2 linked regions of the Elephas maximus indicus genome follow. The main gene of each other region encodes a partner of the protein of the gene in region 2 in a complex. Links are inferred from orthologs where the notes say so. Each region holds a gene or a part of one and is shown on either strand. Other genes may lie near its edges.

The links. Proteins that work in one complex are often made in the same cells at the same time.
Region 1: the proteins of GNAI1 (region 2) and SMO are in contact, whole or in part, in a cryo-EM structure (PDB 6XBM), measured with the Homo sapiens proteins. The link is inferred for Elephas maximus indicus from reciprocal best matches to the Homo sapiens genes GNAI1 and SMO. Residues at the interface, in NP_002060.4 of Homo sapiens: Glu28, Arg32, Glu33, Lys192, Leu194, Gln333, Phe336, Asp337, Thr340, Asp341, Ile343, Ile344, Asn347, Leu348, Lys349, Asp350, Cys351, Gly352, Leu353, Phe354; in NP_005622.1 of Homo sapiens: Arg261, Pro263, Ala264, Trp339, Ser342, Phe343, Ala345, Leu346, Gly347, Thr348, Thr349, Tyr350, Ser354, His433, Pro434, Gly435, Ser438, Lys440, Ala441, Lys444, Ile445, Glu447, Thr448, Arg451, Trp535.

What each region holds. Positions count from the first base shown.
Region 1 is NC_064826.1:20,915,291-20,922,938, reverse strand, and holds the start of SMO (smoothened homolog), read left to right. Parts: upstream 1-4,639; 5' UTR 4,640-5,315; coding exon 5,316-5,643; intron 5,644-7,648. UniProt on the Homo sapiens protein: G protein-coupled receptor which associates with the patched protein (PTCH) to transduce hedgehog protein signaling. Binding of sonic hedgehog (SHH) to its receptor patched prevents inhibition of smoothened (SMO) by patched.
Region 2 is NC_064826.1:49,915,563-49,923,344, forward strand, and holds the start of GNAI1 (guanine nucleotide-binding protein G(i) subunit alpha-1), read left to right. Parts: upstream 1-4,778; 5' UTR 4,779-4,870; intron 4,871-5,030; exon of another isoform or gene 5,031-5,096; intron 5,097-5,187; exon of another isoform or gene 5,188-5,457; 5' UTR 5,458-5,504; coding exon 5,505-5,622; intron 5,623-7,782. UniProt on the Homo sapiens protein: Guanine nucleotide-binding proteins (G proteins) function as transducers downstream of G protein-coupled receptors (GPCRs) in numerous signaling cascades.

The DNA.
Region 1 (7,648 bases), about 29 Mb from region 2:
AATGTCGGCAGTTCAAATCCACCATGCACTCCTTGGAAATTCTATTGGCCAGTTCTACTCTGTTCTACAGGGTCACTATGAGTTGCAATTGACTTGACAGCAAAAGGTTTAGTTTTCTTTTTTTGGTTATACTTAGGGACATAATCTCATTTAGGAATAGGGTTTTCTTTGTTATATTAATGAGGCCATGTTAGTGTAGGGTGTGTCTTAAACCTAATGACTTTTGAGGTATAAAAATAACAGATTAGGTACAGCTATGAGCAAACACAAATGGGAGAAAGACAGATACCATGTGAAGATCACCAAGGAACCAAGGAACACAGGGCTAGAGAAGCTGAAACAAGGATTTTCCCTCAGCGCTAACAGAGAGAGAGCCTTCCCCTAGAGCTGGTGCCCTGAACTCAGATGTCTAGCCTCCTAAACTGTGAGAAGTAAATTTCTGTTCATTAAGGCCACCTACTTGTGGTATTTCTGTCACAGCAGCACTAGCTAACTAAGATAAGGGATATTTGAACAGGGACCTGAATGAAGTGAGACATGAGTGTGAGCCAAAAGTCAAAAGTCCTGAGGCAGAAGCTTGCTTGGTGTATATAAGGACCAGCAAAAAGAATAGCATGTTGGAGGTCAAACAAGCTAGAAAAGGAGCTGCAGGAAATGAGACCCAGGAGGTCAGCAGGACCTTGGTGAAGCCATGGTGAGATCTTTGGACTTTATTATAAGTATAATGAGATGCCATCAGAGAGTTTTCAGCACAGAAATGATATGATTCTACTTCTATTTTAGTAGGATAGCCCTGGTGCCTGGGGAGAATAGGTTGTGGGAGGGCAAGGGAAACTGGAGTTCTGTGAGAAAGCTCTTAGAGTGACCTAGGTGAGAGACGACGGTAGTTCAGACCAGTGTGGCAGCTGAGGAGGTGATGAGGAGTAGTTGGAGCTGACAGGATTTGCTCATGGGTTGGGTGTGGGATGTTAGAGAAAGAGAACAGCTTGAGAGAACTCCAAGATTCTTGGCCTGTGCAGCTGTATAAATGGTGGTACTGTTTACCAAGAAGAGGAAAACTAATTCCATAGATTAAAAACAGAATGTCATTACCCAGAAAAGACCTAAAACCACCTGATGTTATAATGTGCAGCTCCAGACAGGAATGATGTAGGACAGCCCTTTCACAGCAGCCACACTTCTACCATATTGGCTACTGGTTGGACTTCCAGGAACCACTGAAATGGCAGCATAAGAAGGATCTTGGAGATGGAAGAAAAGGGAAGTGAAAGTGACAGTTATTAAGCACCTAAGGAATAAGCTCTTTGTCATGTTACTTCATACTAATCCTTATTAGACTCCTTATAGCTAAATAGTTATGCCTTCATTTTTATAAAGGAAGAAATTGAGGCTCAGAATAAGTTGCTCAAAGTCACTTGGCTAGAAAGGCTCAACTCAGATTTCTAACTCCAAATCTATATGCTGCCTCTCTCAGGAGGTTGCATATCTAGCTCCTTTCCCATTTTACACTTTCCCTTTGACTTGATGCTCTTAGCTGCAAAATAGAAAACACTAGAAGAAGAAAGAAAACTGGAGTGCTGCAACAATTATGCTTCAAATTCTGGCCAGTGTGACAATCTGAACCATAAGCCACTAACCAAGATCTTGAGGATACCCATGGATATCCCACAGATACTTTCATGTCCTTCCTCTTTGAGTGGAGGGCCCAGTGGCAAATGACAAAGAGTCATCATTGAGTATGCGACCTCAAAATGCCAAAACAGTTGATGAGGATGACTCAGAAATCAAGAAGCTACTTGTAGCAAGCCAGGTACTGTAATGCATTGTCAACACAGGAGAGCTTCTCATGGTCCTGACGGAAGGACTGTGTCATGACACGTAGATCGGGCTAAGACTCTTGAGAAACTGGGTGGGAGGTGCTCAGGCTCAGGAAAGGAGCACTTTCCAGCTGGCCACCAGGCTGAGGCCAAGAGCCTGTCAGGCTGCTCTGAGGAATCTCTAACAGACACTGGCAGTCTTAGTGTGCCTGCAGAAGGGGATGGTTGAGCTCTTCCAGAACCCTGAATGCCATCCAGGAAGTACCAGGAAATTCTGTCTTCCCTAGTGCCTGCTGAAGACTTCTTTCCTCTTCCAAACCTAAGGTTAGACAGGATTCCTGACTCTTTCCATTTCCTTCTGTATCTGGGGAACAGCACAGGCACTTTAGATACAGATCTATGGCTATTGTTGCAGCTACCATGGATGGGAACCTGGCCCCCTTGGCCCCATAGCCTATGACAGGACTATGAGAATTTTTCCAGTCTGTCTTCCTGCTTCCCTTTGCCTAGGCCAGCAGGATTCCCAGAAAAGGATGCTGAAGCCTGGTGTGTAGACGTACTCACACCTACCAAGTTGAAAAATAAAGATATCTCTTTCTCACCCTAAAGGGAAGAATATCCTGAAGGGAAGGCAACACTTTAGAATCTCCTCAATTCACCCTCTTCTATCTTTACTGTAAAAGGTTGTTGTTAGCTGGAGTCCGCCCCCGACTCATGGCAACCCCACGTGTTACAGAGTAGAGCTGTTCTATAGGGTTTTCTTGGCTGTAATCTTTACAGAAGCAGTTTACCAGGCCTTTCTTTCATGAAACTGCTGAGTAGGTTCAAACAGCCAACCTTTAGGTTAGCTGCGATTGCAAACTGCTTACTCTATTACAACATACCTCCCAAGAAATCTCTGCTGTGCCTGGACAAGGAATGGTAGTGTCTTCATACTGGAGGAACTACCTACTGACATTTTTAAGCAGAAAAGTAAGGGCTTGCTGGCATACATGTAGGTTTCTCCCTAATACATGGAAAACTCAGAAAATACTTCAAAGTGACCACAGTAACAACTAGACAGAAAATGAGTGGAGAAGGCTCACAAAGCAAAACCTCTGAGTGGTAGGAGACACCAAGACAACTTTCACTGTGGCTCAAACTTGGACATGTACAACATTTATATTACAGGAAAAAAAAAAAAAGAACTGAAGTTGGTCATGATGTTTTAGATTATTTTTTCCAGTGAGAATATTATGCCTGATGACATAGTCTATTCCCATTTCTTCCGTAAATCGCCATCAACTTCCCTCCAAATAGCCCCTTTCCTCCAGCCTCTTGCCCTCATACCACCTTCATGTCACCTGATTAACATCCTTAAACATAACACTTTCTTCATCAAAAATTGGCACCCTTTCCTTATTGCCAAAAGAAGTAAGCCTTAACTCCCCTGTGCATCAGTCAAGGCTTTTCACCAGTTTCCCTACTTATCTGATCTCCTGCTATGCCCTGATAGCCAGGCAAATCATGCTCTGAGCTAGATTCATGGTTCCCCCCCCATGTAATGCCCCCTCGACTCCTCTCAACTTTTCTGACTCCACCTAATCGCTCAAGACCCGTCTCCTCCGCTTCCACCAGCCACACTGATCTCTCCCTGCTATAAACTCGTGTAGCGCACTCTCTGTGCACCTCATTTTGGCAGTTTATTGAGTTCTTAATATGTATATGGTGTTGCACTAGATGCTCCGGAGAGGAAGGCCTTGCTGCTTTGCACTGTTTCCTAAGGGCAAGCCTTGTCTCCCCAGTAAAATGCAAGTTCTCAAGTTCTGCAAGAATGTCTTGCTTCTCATAGTGCTATGTTCCTGGGTGGTACAAATGGTTAACCTGTTCTGTAGCTAACCAAAAGGCTGCAGATTCAAGACCACTTCAGAAGACATGTCGGCGGCCTACTTCAGAAAAATCAGTCATCCAAAACCCTATGGAGAACAGTTTTACTCTGACACAGTGTTTTTTTTTTTGGTTTTTATGTACTAGATTTTCAGAAAGACTCGCTAAATTGAATTAAAACCTCTCTCTCTCACTCAGATTTACGTGCTAATTAAGGCTAGTAACTGAAGTGTAATAGCTAATTCGCTCTTAAAAGGTCAAACGTAACAGCTAGTCCAACTCAGCTAGGCTATGAGCTAGTCTTCCACGGTTAAGAAAGGAAAAGGCACCTTAGTGTGCTGTCTGGTCAGCAACACTGGAAAGTTGCTTAATGCAAGTCCACTTTTCTGGACTTCGTCGTGTGGTGATGGGTGTGAACTGCCTCGATGTGAAATCAAGCCCTGTGAGGGAGAGCAAGATGATCCGGGGAGGTAAGGGGAGCAGAAACTCCCCTGGCCAACAGACAGTAGCAAGGGCTATCAGAGATAGACTGGTCTACTTTGGACACAACCAAAGACACGCCAGGGCTGGTCTTTGGGAACCACGGTTCAGACTTCACACGTCTGTAGCAATAAAGACGACGTTGGGACGTTTGGTTTTCACAGCCTGCTCCCACAGGTAACAGCAGCCAGGCAGCTCCTGAGTGATCCTGAGGCCATCTCCTAGGCAAGTCACGAGAAAGGAGCAGACAATTCAAGCGGGAAGGAACCGCAGAAACGGAGACCCCAACCCTGGTACTCTTCCATGGGCCCAGAGACGAGTCCAAAGATCTAACCGAAAGCTGGGAAGACCGCCGGAGCTGGGGGGCGGGGATGTGGTAGAAGCTCCCACTGACTTCAGCACCCAGCCCCTCACGCCGCTCTCTGCAGAGGCCCAAGTCCAAAGATCCTCCGAGCAGTCAAGGTGCCCGCTGGGTCTGGTGCAGCTCTGGGCCACCATTTCCCCCCGCCTCTGGCCCCAGGGCGCGGGCGGCGGCAGGAGGGCCCTCCGAGCCCCCTAGCCCAGGCCCTCCGGGCGCCACGGCCGCCGAGCGGCGCTCCTCCTCCCGGGCCAGTCCCTCCCCCGCTGCGCGGAGGGGCCGGGCTTGGCCGTGAGGCCGGTGCATTCCAGAGCCGAGCGAGGAGAACACAAAGGAGCCGGGTGGTCGGCGGGGAGAGGGGCTGCGCGCGCTCGGCGAAGTGGCGGCCGGGCCGCGGGCGGGCGCGGAGCCCGGACGCCGCCCGCACCCCGCCCGCGCCTGGCCTCCGCCGAGGGGCCGGGAGTCGGTTTTAATGGTGGGAGGGGGGATGGTGCTGGAGGTTGAGGGTCCGGGGGGCCCCCGGGACTGAGACGACTTGGGTCGCTGGGCGAGGGTAGGGAGCTGCGCACCGCGGCCCGGCTTCCGACGCCCGCCATGGGCCGCGGGGCCCGAAGTTTGCGAAGTTGGGCGCCGAGGGGCCCGGGCGCGCGCTGCGTGCGGGGGGGCCCGGCGCCGGGCTCGCGGGGCGCCCAGGTCGCTTGAGTCGCCCCCGCGGCCCCGAGGCGTGCGTGTGTGGCCCGGGTTCCGGGAGCGGGCGGGGGCGCCGGGGCTCTGCTGAGCTGGCGGGTCTGGCTATGGCCGCTACCCGGCCCGCGCGGGGGCCAGCGCTCCCGCTCCTGGGGCTGCTGCTGCTGCTGCTGGGGGGCCGGGGCCGGGGGGCGGCCGGGAGCGGGAATGCGACCGGGTCTGGGCCGCGGGGCGCTGGCGGGAGCGCGAGGAGGAGCGCAGCCGCCACTGGCCCTCCGCGGCTGCTGAGCCACTGCGGCCGGGCGGCCCCCTGCGAGCCGCTGCGCTACAACGTGTGTCTGGGCTCGGCGCTGCCCTACGGGGCAACCTCCACGCTGCTGGCCGGGGACTCGGACTCCCAGGAGGAAGCGCACGGCAAACTCCTGCTCTGGTCGGGTAAGTGCCGGAGCGGGCCCAGGGGCTGCGGAGGTGGGGTGGAGACTGGTGCAAAGAGCAGGCTCAGGCCTGAGCTTTGGAGAGGACTCCGAGAGAGTGAGAGGGACACAGGCTAAAGCTTTGGAGCGGGTTACGTGCAGGAGGGGACCCTCGGTGATGGGGGCGGAGGAGGAGAGAGTGGAGGAGCCAGTCACAAAAGGCCTGAGCAGGGTAGGCGAGCAGAGGAAGCAGGGGAATGAGGGACCCGGAGGAGGGGCGCCAAGCTACAGGAAAGCATTTTAAAGAGAAGATGCTTCACTAAGTGCCACCTTGAGCTCGAGGGTCTCAGGGATTCAAGGAGGTGTTTAGACCCGGGGGGAGAGACAGGGAAATCGAGTTGGAGGGGCAAAAGGAAAGGATAGGGGTGGAGGAGGTTTAGGCATTTGGAGGGAGAAGAAGGTGGGGGGAAAGAATTGAGTGGAATCTGTGATGAAAATTAAAAGGTAACCAAAAAGTTGGAAAACTCTTGCCTTGGGAGACAGGAAGTCCAGATCTTGTCTTGCTTTCACACAAGATTTCAGTTTCGTCATCTGAAAAATGGGCATTCTGATCCTTGCCTGAGTTTGTGAAAGGATGAAATTATTGCACCAATTATTTTGTGTGTTCTTCGGAAGTTGGGATCCTTGGCCTGGTCAAGACTGCTGAAGGACCCTTAACTGTGGGATGCAGAGGGCCTGTGGATACTTCTAGAGCCCTCTCCTCAGGGTGGGTTTATGGCAGGGCCTGAAAAACTGCAGCCTGAACCCAAACAGGTCCTTTTTCAGCAGTATGGAATGGGTCGTCCCCACCTGCCCTCTGCTGGGCTGGGGACCTGGAGGTGTTGGGGAAGGGAAGTGGCCCTGTTGTTTCCGCTTCTGGCCAGTGTGATTCCAAAACTATCTTTGGAAAAGAAATCAAAAGCCAGGAGCAGACCTGGCAGCCTCCTTCTTTTGACGGCCCTAGGGTGCCTCATTTCGCAGCTCTGCTCCTGAGGAGGGAGGGTGTACGTAGGTGACCAGTCGTTGTTGGCATAGGCCATTAGACTTCTCAGGTCCTTTGCCGGGATGTTGAACGAGGCAGCATCGTTATCATTAGTGTGATGCCAGAGAAGGCATGTGGAGGATGGTATCCTTGTGGTGGAGCTGCAGTCTCCTATAGTCTCCAGTAGGGATCAGATTCAAAAATCAGCACATAAGGCAGAAGTCCTGTGTAATCCACAGTATCTTCAAAAATCCATGAATTACCCTAATGTATGGTATATGTGATTTTGCCTATACACTCCTTTATGATAACATGTTTGTATAAATATGTAACGTATAGTAATGCATAGAAGACAGGAGTCCCTGGGTGGTGCAAATGGTTAAGCGCTCAGCAGCTAACCAAAAGATTGGTGGTTCATATCCGCCCAGAGGCACCTGGGAAGAAAGTCCCAGTGATGTGCTTCTGAAGGACCATAGCCACTGAGAGCCTTATGGAGAGCAGCTCTACTCTGAAACGCTGGGACAGCCATGAGTTGGAATCGACTCAGTGGCAACTGGCTTGGTGTGGCTATACATACAAAATATAATTTTAGCCTTTAAAGTTACATCAGTGCAAAAGAGCGGAAGACTTAAATAGCGCAGTGGTTAAGAGCTCGGCAGTTAACCAAAAGGTTGGCAGTTTGAATCCACCAGCTGCTCCTTGGAAATCCTATGGGACAGTTCTACTCTGCCCTATAAAAGAAAAGATAAACAAGGTTCCTTTGAACACCATGTGACATAAGCCTTGAGTTCCGGAACCAGCTGTATGAAAACCCTAAATCTTTCAGCACTAGAATCTCAATGAGTTCTGAGTTGTCCACACTATGAGAGGATATCTATCAGTTTACTTATTTTTCAAGGGTCCACGGTTGAATTCTCCTAAGTGAAATGTGTATGTGATACTGCCCCTCTAGCTGCCATTACATCAGGGAGGAAGGGTATGAACCTCTTCCAGCCCACACTCTTGG
Region 2 (7,782 bases):
CCTATATGAAAAATAGACAGTATAGAACATGAGTGGAAGCAGAGGGACCAGATAGCAGGCTATTATAATATTCCATAGATACCACAAATGAGAGTATATCAGTGGAGATGGTGATATTTGGCCAAATGCTAGATATAACTGAAGGCAGAGTTAACAGGATTTCCTGTGGGATTAGATACATAAGGCCTGAGGGAAAGAAAGGAATTAAGGATGACTCTAAGATTTTGGTCTGAACAAATGGAAGGAAGAAGTTGCCAATTACTGTATTTTTCTTCCAATGGTACAGGTGCAAGCACAGATAGGCAAAGAGCTAGATTTAATGAGATTTGAAGTTTTTCCTGGTGAATACAATGGTGGGGGTGTTTTGAAGAGAAGATTATCTTGATTGAAGGTGGTAACTAAGTTGGGATAGGAGAGAAATTAGCACATGACATCTGTTGAGGGACAGAGAAAAATGTACAGTTTGTGGATGGAAGGTCTCTGCAGTCTTGAAGAATTGATGGTGATAAGAGAGGGGGCTGGAAAGATTAGAATGGAGGTCAGAGTACGGGGTAGTCATGTTCTTTCCATTGTTCCATAACAATCTCCTTTTCTCCACCTGCATAATACTTGAGAAGAGTCATGGCTAAAATGCAACTATGGCAAATTCCCCCCAAAAATCCTGCTCTCCGTCTACTATCCCGTGTATCTCTCACTCTCCGCAATTAAAACTACTGAGTCTCTTCATTCAGCTTCTGCATTCTCAGTGTTTACACACTCCTTCATTCTACATGGTAAAGCTTCTGTTCACAACAATAGATCAAAGTGCTTTGGTGCATTTGCCAACAATCTCTTCCTGTTGAAATTAAAGACTCACAGGAACTTAGAATTGTTGGGATCGTGCAGATGATCTAATTCAATGCCTACATTTTTCTAGATAGGGATAGTGTAATTAAGGGACATTTAAAGACATGTAATAGACACAGTTTAGAATTGCTCTAAATTCTCCAGTTTACCTACTTACAGCTTCTTTCACCATACCACTATTGCCAATGTTCTTTTTCTTCATACTTGTCCCTGTTGATCTTTTTCTAATGCATTTGAAATCATAAATAGCCATTTTTTTCTTAAACTTCTCCCTCCTTCACTTACGTGCTTATAATTCTTAGTGTCTCCTAGCTTCATCGACATATAAATTAGGCTCACATTTCTATTCATCTCCGATGATTTTAAGATGTATCTGCTTCAGTAGGAAATTAAGCCTTCTAGAAGTATTTTCCAGGTATTTCTACTAGTCCACCAAGGTGGCTTCATATTCACACGAGCACAAACAAGTCTGTTGTCTAAAGTCACTGCCTAATGTCCTTCTGTTTTCCTCTTTTCCAGTGTTCCCTTTTGTCATTGCCACTGGCAATGAAGTTACTTGAGGGAGACTGAGCACTGCCCATAGTGCAGTGCCCATCAGGAGGATGTGACTATCCATGCCCAAAGTACTGTCTTTAGATGGCTTTTAGTGCCTCGGTGCTCAGGTGCCTGAGTCGTGGTACGCTCCACGTAGAGACGATGACCTCCATATCATCTCTGAGCCAGATGTTGCACCCTGTGTATCTGAAGAGCCCTTCTTGTCTCACGAAGTATCTTAGTAGTAATTCTATGAGCTTTTGTTTTTTGACCTTTGCCCAGAATCTCACAGCATGGCTAATGCAAATAGTTTGGGTTTGGTATCTTTATATCTCTAACAGTGTAACAGCACAGATGCCCCTCTATCCTTCCAATTATCCCTAATCTTTCCCCAATCCAAACTCTTCCCTTCTCATTTAGAAAGCAAAAAACTCAAAGCAAACAATAGAGAAGTGTACACATAGCACAACTGCTCCTAATTTAACCAGCCAAAGATGTACTATACACTGCTCTTTTGATCGATGTATGTTTATAGGTCCAGATATAGATATCTATGTCAAAGTCCTAACTCTCTTATATGGTTCCAGTTTATCCCCACACTAATCCACTGACACACCAAGTCAGCATATCTCAAATCCACTCTTCTTACGTTCTTTGGCTTCATTTTGTCAGATGCTAGGACATGCAAGGAAAAGGTTGGAGGCTAGAAGGAGTTTCTGAGTTCTAATCTCAGTTGACACTAATCCCATTTGTCTTCTGAATAACATAGAATCTCAAGGTTGGAAGGGATCTTAAAAGTTATCTCATCTAGCTTTAGACTGTGCCCGGTAAGATATCATACAACCTAAATTTGTACATACTAGTCAAGGATGTTACAAATGTCTCCTTTCAGATGAATTGTACACTGTTCTTCCTTACATCAAGGTAAAATTTGTTTGCTGTAGCTTCTTTCTACTACTTCTAAATCTACCACTTTGGAGACAGAAAGAAAATGTTTATTCCCTCTGATTCATGACATCCCATCAGTTACTTGAAAACAGCTATCATGTCACTTTGTAGCTTCTCTTTCCTACATTACATATTTTCAACTTCTTCAATTATTCCTTATGACAGAGTTCAGAGTTACTTTAAAACCTAGATGTTCTCTGCTGAATGTGTTCCAGTTAGTCTCTTGGCATATGTCTCTGACTCTCTTAATATATGATGCTCAGTATTATTCAGTAATGAAAAGAAATATTGATATATGCTACAACATAGATAAATCCTGAAAACATCATAAGTAAAAGAAGCCAGTCACAAGTGATTACATATTGCATTATTCCATTTCTATGAAATTCCAGAATAGGCAAATCTAGAGACAGAAAGCATAATGGTGTTTGCCTAGGACTGGGGGAGAGGGGTGTAAAATGGGGGCCTGGGGAGTGACAACTAAGGAATGCAGCATTTCTTTTTGGGGTGACAAAGATGTTCTGACATTGATTGTGGCGATGCTTCAACAATTCTGTGAATATACTAAAAGTCACTGAATTGCGTACTTTAAGAGTAAATTATATGGTATGTGAATTATATCTCAATAAAGCTATTTAAAAAAGAAACGTGATGCTTAGAAAGGAAATCAGTACTCTGAAACAAAGTGTTTTCACCTCTAAATCTCAGCTTCACTCTCTCTAAAATGGATGAGTTAATAAACTCTTTACCTTGTTGATAAAGTTGTTGAATCATATTTTGCTACCTCATAATTATGTAAGTTATTAATTAGTTTGAGTGACTTTCATCACCTCATATCTGGATTACTAACACAGTCCACTTGTTGGTAACCCATTTTTTTACACATAGTGGCAAGAGTTTTTTTGAAGCACCTATTCCCCAACTCACTAAGAAGAATATAAGGAACACTTAGTACCCATTGTATCAAGTCCAATTCTTCACCTTTGTATTTAAAGCTCTTTTCCAACTTTGTTCTATACTTCCTACCATTCTTCACAGCCCAGCTAAATTTTAGTTATAAAACACTTGTTCTCTCCTATAGACACTTTGCATATTAACCCTTTTAGCTGGTTATTACTCTCAAACAAAATATACCCCTTGAAACTCCCCACCAATCCCAGTCATCATATCCTTCAAAAGTTCTTTCAAAACTTTCTTCTCTTGGAATTTGCCCTCAGACTGATCACTCTATTACCTGTATCCTCTCAGAAGTTTATATACAGCTAATTTGAAGTTCTTATTCTTTCATTATTATCCTTTAACTCCTAAACTACTTGACAAGATTATCAAATGAGAGAGGTAATGTTTATGATTCTGTTATACCTTCTTTTCTCCAAAACACTTTCTGTAGTCATTTCCACCAGTACTCCGCCATGATTGCTTCATCTTTTGCTGCAACTTTTTGTTAGTCATATGCTCTATCTGGTCCGAAGCTTGCAGGAAAAAAGAATCACAGTAACAGATAATCCAAAATGACTAATACACAAACACTATATCGAAAGTTAACTTCCTTAAGCTTAATTTCAGAGTTACTCATGAACATCAACATTTAGAGTGCCAAGAAATACAAAAAGGTAACTCAAGGCTAATTTTTACAGATGAATTTCAGAAAATAAGACTTCCAGATAGATATCAATTTCTAAGTTTTAGTACATCAATGAAGAAATTTGACTACCAGCCCCATCTTCTAATCAGTCAGCCTTTCCTGTGGTGTGTGTAAGACAAAGATGGAGTGCAACAATGGCAGTTGGGATCACCAGCCTGACAGGGAGAGATCAGGCAGTGAACTTAAGCAATTATATTAGGCACTAGATACTGGGTGAAATGTCTGTCCAGCCCCAAGAGCTCATCTTGCCCAAACCAGTTAGAGCTGGAAGAATGGGGCCATCAAGTACATCAACCCTTCACCATTTTATGAGTGAGGAAGCTAAGGTCTGTTAACAGGAGTGCCATGCCCAATGGCACAGGAGTTATTAACAGGGTCATAAATACTGGTTCAAAATTTGACAAGGAAGTTCACAAGCTGCTCCAGAGGAGGTCTGTTACGGTGTGGAGCAGATTTGTTTGTGTGGGTGTGTTTTATTGCTCTGGTCATTTTTTATACATGCTTTGATTCTTTGTCTCTCATCTTCTCAGATTATGAGGAAATCCTTCAAAATGTTGTTTGTGAAAAAGAAAAGTGATAATGGGTGGAAGAAAAAAGGACATTACAAAGGACGGGAAACTGAAGAAAAGGAGAAAGTTACTGACCCGTTTTCTCCCCGACTTTTCCTGCTCCCCACTGTCCCCATCTCTGGTTCCACCGCGGCTCCGTTCCCTTCCCAGCTGCCTGTTTCCCACGGCCCAGAACGCCACCCGACAGGGGTTCTACATTTTGAAAACCCTTGCGTGGGTGCGGAGCTGGGCATGCTCAAAAGCTCAGGACTGGCTTTGCTCGGCTCTCAACTTTGGCAGCTCTCCCACCGCCACACCGAAAGCGGCAGGTCCGCACAGATCCCTCGGTGTGAGTAAACGGGAAGAAATTATCGCACTCCCTCGGAGGGAGGCGGGTGGCAGAACGCGAGGACCCAGCCTCACCGGGCAGTTCCGCGCTCCTGTGGGCGCTTCCAGGGCGCGGGCTCGGGGGGTGGGGGGTGCCCGGATCTCGGGGACTGCTCGGCGCCGGGGAGCGGCCGGGCACGTCGGGAACGCGGGGGCGCGCCCCTCCGAGGGAGCTCTGTCCGAGGCAGGTGCGCGGGAGCGCGCTCTGGGAGTGGTCCCAGGCTGGCGGGAGGGGCGGGCAGGGGCGGGGCCGCGGCGGCGCGCGGACGCCGAGCTCCGCGGGGCTTGGAGAGGCTGCGGCGCGGCCAGCGGCGGGAGGGTGGCAGCTGCTGCATCTGGAGGCTCCAGATCCCGGGCTTCTGGGCGCTGAGGGGCGCCAGGAGCGGAGCCTGGCCTTGAGGAAAGGCTTTGAAGAGGCCGCCTGCTTCCTTGCAGACACCTTTTTCCTAGATTCCGTTGACGAAGTGGGTGGGGGTGGTGTGGCCCACGTCGGGAGGTATTTGAACTGCCGCATCCAGAAAGAAAGAATTTCCCCGTGTTTGGAGACAGCACATCGGACGTGGAGGGAGCGGCGGTAACCTCTCGCTCTTGGCACAATGGGCTGTACGCTGAGCGCCGAGGACAAGGCGGCGGTGGAGAGGAGTAAGATGATCGACCGGAACCTCCGCGAGGATGGCGAGAAGGCGGCGCGCGAGGTCAAGCTGCTGCTGCTCGGTAAGGGCGGCCAGGCCGGACGCCGGGGTGGGGAGGACGGCCTGGGGGTCCCAGGGGCCGAGGGGGAGCAGGCCGGTGGGCTGGGCGCGGCGCGCCGGGCTGGCTGCTGCCGGGGCTCGGCGTCTTCGAACCCGAAGGGAATGTGTCGAAGCGGCCGATGGCGCGTCTTGTAGCGCCCGAGGGTGGTTTCGGAGAGGGAGGCTGTCCAGGGCGGTGCAGCGCCCAGGGGTGCCCTCCTGTCCCCCGGTCGTCTGCCTCCCATCGCCGTGGAGGGCGAGAACTCGGCCGCGGTGGGGCAGGAGCCTCACTTCATCCGAAGCTTTCGTGTGGCCCCTGCAGGTAGCCAGGGAGCGATTTTAAAGCGGCAGATGGCGCGGAAACCCTTTTCTTTGAAGTTAGCTCAGCCTTGTAAAGATGAGCATTCATGGCAAGAAAATAAGAGTCTCCCTCCCCCGGAGACCTTTCATACCCGGTGTTGTGTCGCGGTTGTGGTTTCACTAGTCCAGAGTGGCACTTTGCGTGAAATCAGTGAACCTTTTGTGGGGCCTTTGGGGTTGAAATGTGTCTTTCCTGTCAACTTCCGATGGCGATTCAGTAAGTGTTACAGGAACACTGATTGTATTTACCTTGCGGAAGGAAATAGGCTGCTCTACGTGCTTTATTTTTCCTACTCCGGGGGCATGGAAACCACCAAAGTTGGGTTACGTTCGCTCCAGTCGTGGATCAGACGGATAAATGAGTGAGGAAAACTGATGTGAAAGGTGCGAAAGGGTCACGCCGACAACAGGATTCTCTCTCCGGCCGCCACGGTTTCTGATAAATGAGGTTTGCCAGGTACAAGCCAGGATTTTGTTTAGTCTTAGTCCTCATAATGAAACGTTACGTGGAGGACTTTTTCCATTGCTAATGGGGGAGAAAATAAAAAAAGAGTAAACCAGGGTTTTGACTCAGGGATATGTTAGGAAGATATTCACAGTTTAAGATGTTTAGTTTTATGAGTTAGGGTTTTCTTTTGTTTCCTTGACTCCCTTGCCCCCACCCCCACCCCACTCTAAGTAGAGACAGGTTTCTCAGAATCTTCATTTGCACTTCCAGCGATTGCTTATATATATATAGACATACATACAGTTATAATAAAAGAGAAATATTGCAGAAACCTGTTTTCAGCAAGCGTCTGTGTCACTGGTTTAATGACTGCAGAAAAAAATGGTGGGTTTTTTTCCCCCATCACTAGCAAGCTTAGAAGCAGCGAACCTGGCATGACTAAAAGTAACTATGATCTGAGTCATTCTGAAAGTAAACTGAAATAACTTTGCATTTCAAAGACCTGAATGTCTTTACCTCCTCCCCACAACATAAACCTTCCTCAATTTATACTGTTTACCTGAGGTTTTGCATTAATACCAAAAAACCAAACCCCGTGCCGTCGAGTCGATTCTGACTCATAGCGACTCTATAGGACAGGGTGGAACTGCACCATAGTTTCCAAGCAGCATCTGGCAGATTCGAACTGCCGACCCTTTGGTTAGCAGCCGTACCACTTAACCACTACGCCACCAGGGTTTCCTTACATTGATAAGAAATACTATATTTTTGACCAGGTCAGTATATTTGCAGTGTACTGAGCACAGAAGAGACACAATTTGCTAAAGAAACACTTCGACTTTTGTGAATTGCATGAGCTTGAGAGTAAAAATAAGACAGGATTAAAAAGTTCCTTTGTTTAGTTTTTGCCCTCCTGCTCTGGTATTATTTTTGTATATTTCATCGTATCTTAGCTTGAGCCAGCCATCCACCATGTTTAAGACAATTGCAAAATGATTCCTCTGGTGGTGGTGGTTTATGCTTTAATGAGATGTCTGTTAGAAAGGGATAGAGTTTATTTTTACTTATATTCAGAATAGACTAGTGTTTCTCAACCTTAGCACTATTGATACTTTGGGCCAGATAATTCTGTGTTGTGAGGGCTCTTCTTACATCATGCAATATTTAGCAGCATCTTTGGCCTCTTATGATTTGGATGCCAGAAGTCTCCCCCTCAGGTTGTGACAACCAAAACTATATCCAGACATTGCCAAACGTTTCCTGGAGGCAAAATCAACCCTGGTTGAGAACATCTGGTCTGCATTAACAAATATAGTTGAGTGTGTGATGTAGAAC